Oryctolagus cuniculus: one gene and its partners. The protein of the gene in region 3 purifies or fractionates together with the protein of the main gene of each other region. This does not show direct contact. Links are inferred from orthologs where the notes say so. Each region holds a gene or a part of one and is shown on either strand. Other genes may lie near its edges.

Region 1 (4,232 bases), on a different chromosome or scaffold from region 3:
CTATTAGGAATCTCTAACTCATGGGCCTTGACTTTATTCTTTATACACATATTCATTCATTTAAACACTTATTCAATGCCAGGTCCTTTGCTAGCCACTAAAACTAAACAGATCATGCCCTCATGAAATTCACAGGCTAGTGAAAAAAGATAAGCACAGACTTAACATAATTGTAATACAGTGCCAGACAGAACTAAAAACGTGGTGTGTACATGAGCCAGAGGATGGAAAGGCAACTTATTACAAGGACACCTCTGTAGGCAGGGAAGGTGAAGAAGGCAGACATTCTAGGCAGATGAAACAGCACAAGGGGAAGCACAGATGAGAAAAAAGTGGTAGGAGAGAGTTTACCAAAACTGAGGCTGCAAAGGTAGACAATGCTCAGATCTCCAGTTTCTAGTTCCAAGCTAAGGAGTCTGAAATTTATCTTTTGACAATGAATAGTCAGAGGTAGGAATTACTTAAGTGATTACGCTTTGTTTTACAAAATCCCTGTGGTTACACAAATGCCTTCCTTTGAGGTGCTGCTTCCTTCAAGTCTATACAGAGTCTCAAAACCTGTGCTCAATAAATGTATGTAGAATTTTACTTTTTCTTATGGATGAGGGGCCAGCCTGAAGAACTCAATTTGGCCAGAAGCAAACTTGTAAAACAGGTCCAGCAACCTCAATTATTGCACACTACTCCCTGTACAACTGAAGTCCCCCGGAGATTAGGGCAGGCTGCATTGTTTACTTGTCTACCTCACCCACTAGACTTTGAGCTCTTTGAAGACAAGGAAGGTCTTAACACTCTTGAAATCCCCATGGCTGTGGCAAGAGGCTTGAAGCAGATTCCAGTAATAATGGATAAGAGAATAACTGAATAAGCAATTTTACCAGGTAGACCCACGAGCTCACGTAAAGGTATGTATAAGGTTCAGGGAATGTTTCAGGGTCCATATTCCCAAAACTTTTTTGAGAATTAGAGCTGATGTGGGGTAGGTTTCATATGCACCTGATTCAGGATTTCCCAAACAGAAATTAAAATGCTACAAGTGCCATAGGAGAAATCTCAGTGGGCCTCTGAAAGCCCCAACGGGGAGAAGTCAGCTCTACCTGAGAGGGAGGGGACAGATGCCAGCAAAGACTTGGGGGGAGGCATATTCTTCACTGGACTCTTGAAAGTGAAGTAGGTATGCTGCCTACCTGCCCATTCCAGGGACACAAAAGCAAACTCCTAGAATTTTAAGGCTGGAAGTGACCTGCTCAAGGTCACACAGGAAGTAGGTAAAGCCACAAGGTAAGACAAATGAGGTATCTTTGTACTGTGGACTCCTGTTTTCTCCTGACAAGAGATGAGAAAGCTCAAATACACAGTTGACGAAATTAAACATTTTTCCCAAGAACAATTCTTTAAAGACAAGAGTGATGGATTTGAATGTTTATTGGTAACCACAATACCAACCTTTCCCTTCACCTTTCACAGTTAAAAAATACAGTGAAGTGTAAGACAATTATCCAAGGGGTTTAACAAGGATTTTACTGGCAACACCGACACACACCCAGTACTTCTTAAGTATTCTTCCAAAACACTGCCAGTAATGTTTACCGTTGAAATATTCAAAACAGTGAACGCTGTAATAATGTCTTTTGAAATGGAATAGCTAATACAAAACAACTATAATTCTCCCTTCCTCGATTGTTTTCACCTTCCTAAGTTAGGGAGTACTCCCGGGATGGGGGAAGGGCTGCATAAATCGCACTACTGTTTTCTTTTCAAGTTGAACCCTAACGGTGGCTCTCCAAGCCTGGACTGGGGAACTTTTCCACGCAGAATGAAGCGGGCGCCCTGTGGCCAGGCTTCCCCGTCGCGGGCCACGGTGAGCGCTGCGGGACGGCCAAGTTCGGGACGGAGCTGGTCCCGGACTCGGACCTGTCTGGTCTCCCAGCCTCGGCCCGGCCCCTCCCCCGCCGGGGCCTCCCCCCTCCCGGCCCCCCGATGTCCCGGCGTCCGAGACCGGCGGTCGCGCGGGTGCGTGCACAGGGGGCCTTTGTTGGCCCGACGGGAGCGGCCCGCCTCGCGGGGCGGCGCCCGCCTCACCTCACCTGGCGCCCCCGCCCGCCGGGACCCGGCGCCCAGAATGAATGCGCCCAGGGCCCCCACCCCGTCCAGCCCACCCCGACCGCGCGCCTCAGCCGGGACAGCCCGCAACGCCAGGGGCACCGACCGGAGGCCGGCTCTTACCTTCCGTGCTCGCTCTGCTCCGCTCGGCTCCTCCTCCTGCTCCTCCACCCCGGTGGCGGCGGCCGGGCCGGGGGTGAGCGCGCGAGTGTGCGCGAGCCGCCGCTTCACTTTCTCCCTCCCGCCGCCGCCGCCGCGCGCCTCCCCCCGGCCGCTGGCTCTGGGGATCCCCTCAGGACCGAGGGACCTGCGAGGGAGGGGGCGGTGAGGCGGGAGGAGGCGCTGCGGGGCCGGCTCGGTGGGCTGAGAGGGGCGGGGATGTGAGGGGCTCGGACGGCCTCGGAGGGAGGTGGGAAGTCGATGGGGAGGCAGAGTTCTTTGAGCGGGATTTTGGGGACTGCGGGGTTCGGAGAAAAGAAGAGTCCGAGGGCAAAGTGTCTCCGGAGTAGGACAGCAGAGCGAGGCGGGGAGGCGCGATGGGCGAGCTGAGGGGGAGGGCGTGTGTGGGCAGCCGTGAGGGGGCGTCCACTGTGTAGCCGGCACCTTCAGTTCCAGTGGCAGCCGCTGCCCGCCGCCGCCCCGCCGCAGGCGCCCTATTGTAAGCCGCCTCCCGGGCCCGACCGCCTCGCCCACCGGCCCCCGCCCCGCCCCTGTGAGGCCTCGGCGCCGGCGGAGCCCTGCCCGCCCCGCCTCCCGCAGGTGGGAGGGGGCGGGGAGGGCCGGCTGGCCCACGTGAGCGAGACCAGCCCAGGCGAGGGGGAGGGCGAGCGCCGGGATGACGTCATCGCCTCATGACGCCAGAGGCTGGGGAATCACCCGGTTGCCTGTGACGTCATTGCGCCCGCTCCTCTGCTCTCTGCGGGTGCTCTCAACCCGCCGCAGGTTTCTTTGCTATGGACTTTGTGACTGAAAACCTTTGGGCAATTTCTGGGATGGCTGCAATCGGAAAAAGGCGGCTAACCCTCAGGATTCAGGGACTGCTGCTTACAAAGCACCACCGCATTCGTTAGCTCATTTCCAAGGACTGAATTTGAAAACGGTTTCGTGTGATCTCAGAGCCACATTATCTATGATTCTAATTGTTTTCTTTGGGTAGGATGTGGGAGCCAAAGTGGGGAGACAAAGGATAACCATGGTGACCTGACACAGAAAAAAAAAAATGGCTTCCTTTCCCGTTTTTCTCTTTGTATGATGTCTACTTTCTCCAAACCTTGCCCTGGAGCAAAGATTATGTATTTACCAAAACCTCCCCCACAGCGTTCACCTGCATGCATTGTTGTACCTCAGATTCAACGTGTCCAGTACTGGACAGCATTGGTGGCTGAAAGTCTGGAACAAGATTGTCTTGCTTCAAATACGTATCATCCATATAAATGTTAGTAATAGGATCTTAACGTTTTTAAACCATACTTTCTCCATAATAAGTGGTACTTGTGTATCCTTAACTTAATCTCTCTAAGCCTACCTGAAGCCATAAAAATGATAGTGACAATTAAGCATAGTCAGCCCTTTGGAATGTTGACTATTACCAGTCATTTCCCTCCAACCTTGCGACTCTTGTGCCTTCCTGGTCTCAGTGAATCGACCACACAATCCAGCAGTCAGTGAAAACAGAAACCTGGACGAAAGTCCAGATTCTCTCTACCTGCCTACCAAACTGGACGTCAGGTCTTGTCAATTCTACTTTGCAGGTCCTTGCCCTTCTCTTCCTCCACCATCACATGAACTACTGGCGCAACCTTCAGTTGCTCCAGATCCAATCCACTGACCACCACAAATATGATGATGTCCTCCTCTATTTAAACACTCTGAAAGGTTTTTATTGCTTTCAGGATAAAGTCTAAAATCCTTAACCTGGGACTTCACAACCTGACTTTTTCAGCTCCATCACTCATCATATAGCTTTTCCTCCAGCCACACTAAAATACTATTTAACATTCTCGCAATACACACTTCTTCATGTCTCTGAGCCCTTCACTCCTTATGTGACTGGCCAACACCTATTGATTCTACAAAGCTGAGCTCAAATGTCATGTTCATTTATTTATTTGACTAATATTTCTAGAGTT
Region 2 (4,122 bases), on a different chromosome or scaffold from region 3:
GTCCCACAAATTCATCCCCTCCTCTCAGCCATCTATCTGCCACCTGTCTATGCACTTATTCATCCAGCCACACGTCCATGAACCTGCTCATCCATCCACATACCTACCCGTTTGCCCCTCCATTCACCCACTTATCCATCCAGAGACACAAAGCAGAATCAGCACTCACCCCCTTGGTCTCCACCTGGGTGTGAGGGCAAGGGTGGGAGCCCCCCTCTTCTCTCTGGATAGATGGAAAGGGGAAAGTGCTATCACCATCCTGCCACAGGTTCTTGGGCAGGGCCCCTTTTATTGCTACTTGTGCTAGAGGACTCACCTTCATTGGCTGGTGCTGGTGGTGGGGGTAGCTGCCGTCTGTCTGTTGGGGAGCCAAAATCATGATGGGGCTTTTGTAGTTTGCCACCTTTACATTCATCTCTGTGCAACCTCCTTATTACCCCCAAGGCCTCCTCACCTCCACTTTTCCTCTGATTCCTTTTTTGTATCTTCTCTTGCACCAGGGCCCGGAAGGCCTGGGCCTCACCCTCATCTGCAAAGTTCAGGCCCGCTTGGCAGTCCTGCACATGCCTCAGGGTCAGCAGCCTTCCAGGCCCCTCACACCTTTAGCACCCCCTCCCCATGCTCCCTACTGCTGCGCAGGGGTTGGTTGATCACTTACATCTCCGGCAAAGGTGTGGAAGAAGGGGGTGGGAGTGGAGTAGACCAGCTGTGAGTACAGCTCCTGTTCCCAGAGCAGCCGGCCAGCCTGGAGAGGTGCAGGATAGGGGACACACTGGCACGGAGGCACCCTCTGGGTGGGTGACAAGCTGTTATCTGGGCAGGGAGCGTGGTGTCTGGATTTGGGGCTCTGGAGTCTAATTTTGGAGATATTCAGCTCAGTATCAGAGGGAGTGGGGGCTGGGTGTCAGAATCGGAGGGTTGAGATATCGTCTGAGTATCAGACTCTGCGGTGGGAACTGGGTCGTGGTTTGGAAAACTTATGACTGCAAGACCCGGGAAATTGAGGCTCACACATAGACTCACTTGATCCTGCACTGCCCCAACTCCATGGAAGGTAGGCTTTTAGGATTTGGGAGTTGGGGTTGAGATTTGAGGTTCAGACATATAGACTTGGCAGTTGGGGGAGGAGTCCAGACAAAGTATGTGCATTTTAGGGTTTGTAGAGCAGACTTAGAGCTGTGGTGTTTGATCAATAGTTGATGGCTTTGGCATCTTGAAGTGATGGTAGGTCCATCTTTATGGATTTAGGAGGATGAATTTGGGTGTAAGCCTGGAAAGTTTGGGTTGGAGGTTGATAAGACAGGTCTGTTTTTTGCTGCAGCACTACCTCCTTATTTGGGTGTTCAGAAGTGTTAATGTGGAAATTCTGGGGTCCTTGCTGTGGGCTTAAAAAGACTGATTTGGGGGGCTGCGCTGTGGCATAGTAGGTAAAGCCACCACCTGCAGTGCCGGCATTCCATATGGGCGCCGGTTCGAGTCCCAGCTGCTCCATTTCTGATCCAGCTCTCTGCTATGGCCTGGGAAAGCAGTAAAAGATGCCCAAGTCCTTGGGCCCCTGCACCCACATGGGAGACCCAGAGGAGGCTCCTGGCTTTGGATCAGTGCAGCTCCGGCCATTGCTGCCAATTGGGGAGTGAACCAGCAGGTGGAAGACCTCTCTCTCTCTCTCTCTCTCTCTCCTTCTCTGTGTAACTCTGACTTAAATTAATAAATAAATAAAGACTGATTTGGAGTTTGAGAAGTTCAAGACTCAATGAAATCTTCAGGTTCTGGGTCTGAGCAACAACAGGCTTATGACTTAGGAGCTGGGCAAACATCTGGGGCTCAGGAGTTTTGATGGAGGATTTCCTAAGATGCAACATGTCAAGCTGGGAACAGATTTGAGGTACAGGCATAAATCAAATGGTCAGTTTTTAGAATTTGTAGACCCAATTGGGCCTGGGAGGTGGTCTAATATTTGGGGGTTGAGATACCATGATATGGAGACTCTGGGGTCAGTCATTGTGAAGTCAAAAAGGCAAACCAGAGTTTGAGACCTGGGGGAGGGAGCCTTAGTTCTAGGGTTCAGGGATTTGCTCATCTGGTCCCAGGGCTCAGAGCTATGTATGGGCAAAGGTCTGGCTTTGCAGGTTGAGGTCGGGTTTGCCTATCCATTGAGGGGAGGGTCACCTGAAGGCCGTAAAGGCGGATGAAGTAGGACTTCTGGGGGTTATCCTTCACGAAGCACACAGCCCCACAATGCTCCTTGGTCCAGTGCTCGGCTCCAGGGGGCAGCGCCAGGTACAGCTGAACAACTGCAGTGGCCAGCGTCTAGGAGGGAGAGCAGGGATCAGTGGGTCTGGTCTGGTCGTGGGGGGAGCCAGACCTGGGCCTTCCTGTGCCCCTGTCATGGGCCTGAAGGAAGAGTTGCAGCCCGAAGGAAGGTGAGGAGGCCTCGGGATCTTCCTGGGATGGGTGAGCAGTGGAAAAGTGGCTTCTAGGAGAGGGGCTGATGGGGAGGCAGAGGAGGAGGGGGAGATGGAGAGGGAGAGGCAAAGGGTGGGGAGGATGAGGAGGCAGGAGGGAGAGGAAGAAGAGGAAGGGAGGGCCGGGAGATCCCCAGCTCACCCAGCATTTTCGTCCAAGCATCTCGAAGAGTCGCTGGTTCTCGTGGTCCTGAAGCAGGGTGGAGGGAATGTTCTGCTTAACCTCAGGTGCTCCTCGACCCCCGGGCCTGCCTCCCACAGGGCCCCCACTCATGGTGCCTTCTGTCCTTGTCCTCTCCGCCTAGGCTCGGGGTGCAGGGTAAGAAGAGGAACTTCCGCAGTGAGCAAGGGAACAGGAAGTACAAAAAAACCACAAGAGAAACAAGTCCTCCAGGGGGCCTCTCAGTAGGCCTGGCCTCGTCCTCCCCACGGGCCCTCCTCTGTTGGACTGCTTAGACCCATCTTTTTTAACTAGCTCAGGTCCTTCTCCTTCAGTCTTATCCTCTGGGGCCCACCTCCTCCAACAAACTCAGAGCTTCCTCTCTCTGGCTGGCAGCAGGAGCTGAGCCATCTGCAGTACTTCTGCAGGGCTGGCTGGGGCGAGGAGGAGCCATCAGGCTGGGAATCCTCCCTCTGCCCCAAAACACCATAGACTCCGGGGCCCAGGTCCAAGACTTTTCCCTTTAATTCCATAGCAAGCCCCTGGGAGCCCACTCCTATCTTGAGCCACAGATATTGCCAACAGGGTACACACCCCTAGGTCACTTCCCTTACCCTTGTCTCCTGTAGCAACCAAATTATTTTCTGCCCATCAGCCCTTTTTTGTTTTTATTTTGTTTATTTATTTGAAAGGTAGAGTGACAGAGAGAGAGAAAGAGAGAGAGAATCTTCCATATGCTGGTTCACTCTCTAAATGGCTATAGCAGTGAGGGTAGGGCCAGGCCAGGAGCCCAGAACCCCATCTAGGTCTCCCACGTGGGTACAGGGGCCCAAGCACTTGGGTCGTCTGCTGCTGCCTTCCTAGGTGGATTAGCAGGGAGCTGGATCGGAAGTGGAGCAGCCAGAATTTGTACTGGTGCTCCCACATGGGCTCCCAGTGTCACAGCTTATGGCTTAACTCACTGCACCCCAGCGCCGTCCCTCAGCTCTTTATATATATATATATTTTTTAATTTTTAAAAATCATTTATTTATTTATTTGAAAGACAGGGATAGAGAAGGAGAGAAAGAGAGATATCTTCAATCTTCTGGTTCACTCCCCAAAATGCCGCAACGGCCGAAGCTGGGCCGATCTGAAGCCAGAGGCCTGTAGCTTCTTCCGGGTTGCCCACATGAGTGCTGGGGCCCAAGCACTTGGGCCATCTTCCACTGCTTTCCCAGGAGCATTAGCAGGGAGCTGGATCGGAAGCGGAGCAGTCAGGACTTGAACTGGCGCCCATATGGGAGGCCAGCACCACAAGTGGCAGCTTTACCTGCTATGCCACAGCACCGGGCCCCTTCGCTCAGCTCTTTATTAAAATAAAGGAACTTTATGGAGCCAGGGCTGTGGCGCAGCGGGTTAAAGCCCTGGCCTGAAGCACCGGCATCCCATATGGCTGCTGGTTCAAGTCCCAGCTGCTCCACTTCTGATCCAGCTCTCTGCTATGGCCTGGGAAAG
Region 3 (4,238 bases):
GTTTTACACTTCTCTTCCTACAGCACTACATTTTAAGCAAAATAATGCATTATTAAACTTCTCAAAAGTTTAAGAACATGATCAAGCATTCTGAACATTCTGTCTTTGTGTGATATCTGTCCTCTTCCTGACACAATCTCAGTACCCATAACTATTCTTTATGCAACTTGGCTTGCAAATCCTTGATATACTGGATGTCCGTGTTTGGAAGCATTTGAGTGTCTCAATATCATCATTAAAGGGTATCTATCCAAAGTGAATAACTACATCATAGTTTATCTGGCCCCAGCACATACAAAAGGGAGCTTACTGCATCCCTTCACTTGAGCATCCCACAAACTTGAACCAATGCCACCATGGACTGTGCGAGACTTCCCCACCTACATTACCCAGCAGCTCTTCCTCAGTCTTTCACTCATATCAACTGTTGCCAAGATAAGTTCTCAGCATTTTTTTCAACTTCTTTAAAAACTTCATGCAACATTTTATATTACTGCCAGTTCCTATACATCTTATTTATATCTTGATTTTAAATTTTCAAATATTCTGTGAATCTAATGTATGTTAAATTTTCCAGTATTAGTCTTCCCTACTTTTTAGGCATGTCATTTCCCCTTCATCTGAATGACTGAATAATAGAAAGCAGAATGAGCACCAAGAAAGTATTACTACTTCTTCTAATTGCTTATTGAACAATACTTCTGCTCTTATGTGCTTCCTCAAAACCAATTTCTCCCTAACAGATTCCCCCAACTCTTAGGACATACACATGACCATCTATTTTCACCAGGACCATAAAACTTTTAGAGTTAGAAGGGACTTTCCAGGATCGTCTAGTCTTACTCAACTCTCAGAAAATCAGGAAGCTTTAATTATATACCCTAGGTCATAACGCTGGTTAATAGTATATCAGAAAACAGAACTAAGGAATTCTAAAACCAAATATATGGTATTCTTTCCATCATGGGTTATTTGAATTTTTGTATTTTCACCTGTTTATTTCATCCACACATATTATTTTTTTATTATTTTATCTAAAACATTGAGCAATTTTGTTTTCAAGGGTATTCTGGCTATTACACAAGATGCACCATATCCTTTTTTTCTCTATTTTTTTAAGTCCATTTGAGGAGTAGATTGATAAATAGCCTAGCCTTGTCTCTCCTGATGAGCTACCTGGCAAGAGATGTATAAACTTCAATGTGTTGCAAGAACTCAAGAAAGGAATGATATGGCTACAAATCTCAAATCCTGAACCTCAGTATAAAAATGTACTTAAGGTTAACTACCAATTCCATAAGATCAGTAGAGAAAATGTTAATTTTATCATTGCATTGTTAAGATGAAATATATTGAATCTCTGTATTGGTGATACAACATTCTTTTCACCCTCTTTTTTTATTACTCTGATCTTCGCTTATAGTAGGCACTCAATGAAAAATGGCTCATCAGCAAATGAATAAATAAACCAATAAATCTCTAAAAGGAAAGATCATTCAAAAAATGGAAATGCAAAGATCTGACTTAATAACACTTCAAAAAGTAAACTGAAGTTAAGAGACATATTCCAGAGGGACTCACTTAGACACCACAGCTAACTAACTAAATAAATCTTCACATTGTAGTCACTTTTTGTTTGTTTTTTAGAGAAAGTGGTTACTCTTTTTTTGTTTTGTGCTTTTCTCTGTAATCTCTCACCAGGTAACTCTTGCTTCTCAGGCTCTTCGTACATAAAAATCTTGCACAATAATTCCTCTGCTCATTTTTCTAGAAACACCAATACTCAAGATCAAATCAAACTCATTATCATAAGATCATAAAAAGTCATCAATAGACATATGGATTACACTCTTTTAATATTAAATTCTTCAGTATTTTACTAGCACTTTCCATTAAATATCATTCTTTATACTGTTACTGTAAGTGAAAAGTAGTAAAGCAATATCATGTTAACTCAGAAGTCAAATATGGAGTTTGCTCACCTAATTATTTTTAATTGTTTACCATTGATTTCACGTCAATGTTTGTGCTAAGCTGAAAATTATTGAACTAGAACTGTATGAAACCCAAGCATTTTTATCCTTTCCTTATATGTTATTTAAATATCATACTCAAATATTTAAAAATTATCTTACGCAGTTAAACTAATGTTATTTGATACATGATCAATAATTTAGCTTGTATGAAACAACACAAAAGTACCAGCTTATAAAAACCGAACAAGTTCTCTCTACGGTTTCCCTTTAAATTCACAAAAAGGAAAAATCTAATCCAAAAACTGTAACAAGAAAACTACAGATTTAATAAACAGATTAACTTACTGAAAAAATCTTTAAAGACGTTTAACCATTCCATTTTGAATACAAATTCTGTGTTCTCTTTTGTAAGCTTGTTAACACAGCTCAGGATAATTCTCAGGGAGCTTCCTGGTCTGTTCTGCAACACTGAAACTTCCCACACCCAATCCATGTGACCTGGCCCACACCCAAGCAACAGAAAGCTTTTCTGAAGCTTCTCTTTCCAAAACTTTTTTCCCCATAAACTATAACAGAATCTGTAAAATAAGTAAATCATAATGGTCAAAAAAGTAACCTATTCTTCACACTTACTTTAGAAGGAGTTTTAAAGCCTATACATTTTCTAACACTTAAAAATATACTATTGCATTCATTTTTCCTTTTCCTAAACTTTCAAACAATGTCTCCACCAGCACAATCACTGTGAAACAAACCCATTAAATAAGACATTTGAGTTACCAAAAAGAGACACAGAAATGCTAAAGAAAAGAAGGTTATCCAATGCATAAGTTGGATTTACATCATTATACTATGTAACTATATACTACCAATATTTCCAAGCACCCAGAAATAAAGGTAGTAATAACCATCATATTGTAATAAAGTTAACAGCGATTTCTTAAATCTTACAGAATTATAAACCTTGCTAAAACTGTCTCAATAATATCAGAAAATATGGAAAATTTCCTAGTAATATTAATAAAAATTAATTCTAATTAACTTTCAGATTTATATACAATAACTAAAACTGGCATATTTGTCCTGTTTGCTCTAAGATAATAGTTTTTCACTATCTTTTGTAACTACTATCACATCTCTCTAATTCCAGACACCAGGATCCTATTAAAAACAAACAGGGGCAGTGGTTTGGAATAGCAGTTATTTGCGACACCAGCATCCCTTATCAGAGTACCTGGGTTTGAGTCTCAGCTCTGCTTCTGTATACTCTAGGAGGCAGCAAGTAATGGGTAAAGGACCCTGCCACCCACATGGGAAACCCAGAACGAGTTCCTGGCTCCCAGCTTCAGCAGGGTTCTGTTCACAATGAGGAGTGAAGTGTAAGCAGTGAACCAGCTAATTGGTGATCTCTTTCTCTTGTGTCTTTTTCTCTGCCTTGCAAATAAATTTTTAAAAACAAACTAAAAAGGAACAAAAACTCTATATAGATATGTCTAGTATTCTCTGTGCATTCATCACTATGAGTTATACTTTCTTGAAAGAAGTTACCTTGCTCTCCTTCAATACTTTTCATCAACATGCTTTCAATAAATGTTCAGTATTTACAAAACCAGAAGTATTCTTGGTTCTAACACTGGTCTCTTCAACTATGTAAAGAAAATCACATTCTGATTTGCCTTCCATTTAAAAACTAATGGTCCTGGCTGGTGCCGCGGCTCAACAGGCTAATCATCCACCTGCAACGCCAGCACTCCGGGTTCTAGTCTCGGTCGGGGCGCCAGATTCTGTCCTGGTTGCCCCTCTTCCAGGCCAGCTCTCTGCTGTGGCCTGGGAGTGTAGTGGAGGATGGCCCAAGTACTTGGGCCCTGCACCCCATGGGAGACCAGGAGAAGCACCTGGCTTCTGCCTTGGGATGAGCCCGGTGCGCCGGCCGCAGCGGCCATTGTTGGGTGAACCCACAGAAAAGGAAGACCTTTCTCTTTCTCTCTCTCTCACTGTCCACTCTGCCTGTCAAAAAAAAAAAAAAAAAAAAAAAAGGAAGAAAACAAAAAAAAAAACTAATGGTCCTGTTTGCAAAAAAATTAGAATCTAAAAAAACATTATCCCAACAGTTAAACGGCACAGCAACAACTACCAATTTATCTTTAAAACAATGTAAATGCTTTAGCTCAGAAACTAATATTCTAATACTTTATTTACTACTGGGAAGTACACTATATTTTAGTTTTTGATGTTTTCTGATAGTTAAAAACAGTACTTGTC

The links.
Region 1: the proteins of NCK1 (region 3) and PAK1 purify together in Homo sapiens (affinity purification with western blotting; 8 studies listed by BioGRID and IntAct, with this or other methods). This does not show direct contact. The link is inferred for Oryctolagus cuniculus from reciprocal best matches to the Homo sapiens genes NCK1 and PAK1.
Region 2: the proteins of NCK1 (region 3) and WAS purify together in Homo sapiens (affinity purification with western blotting; 4 studies listed by BioGRID and IntAct, with this or other methods). This does not show direct contact. The link is inferred for Oryctolagus cuniculus from reciprocal best matches to the Homo sapiens genes NCK1 and WAS.

The regions. Positions count from the first base shown.
Region 1 is NC_091432.1:68,610,725-68,614,956, forward strand, and holds the start of PAK1 (serine/threonine-protein kinase PAK 1), read right to left. Parts: upstream 2,810-4,232; 5' UTR 2,227-2,809; intron 1-2,226. UniProt on the Homo sapiens protein: Protein kinase involved in intracellular signaling pathways downstream of integrins and receptor-type kinases that plays an important role in cytoskeleton dynamics, in cell adhesion, migration, proliferation, apoptosis, mitosis, and in vesicle-mediated transport processes.
Region 2 is NC_091453.1:33,872,123-33,876,244, reverse strand, and holds the start of WAS (actin nucleation-promoting factor WAS), read right to left. Parts: upstream 2,810-4,122; 5' UTR 2,740-2,809; coding exon 2,608-2,739; intron 2,311-2,607; coding exon 2,170-2,310; intron 746-2,169; coding exon 659-745; intron 558-658; coding exon 455-557; intron 359-454; coding exon 317-358; intron 224-316; coding exon 170-223; intron 1-169. UniProt on the Homo sapiens protein: Effector protein for Rho-type GTPases that regulates actin filament reorganization via its interaction with the Arp2/3 complex. Important for efficient actin polymerization. Possible regulator of lymphocyte and platelet function.
Region 3 is NC_091435.1:144,689,060-144,693,297, forward strand, and holds the start of NCK1 (SH2/SH3 adapter protein NCK1), read right to left. Parts: upstream 2,805-4,238; 5' UTR 2,575-2,804; coding exon 2,322-2,574; intron 1-2,321. UniProt on the Homo sapiens protein: Adapter protein which associates with tyrosine-phosphorylated growth factor receptors, such as KDR and PDGFRB, or their cellular substrates. Maintains low levels of EIF2S1 phosphorylation by promoting its dephosphorylation by PP1.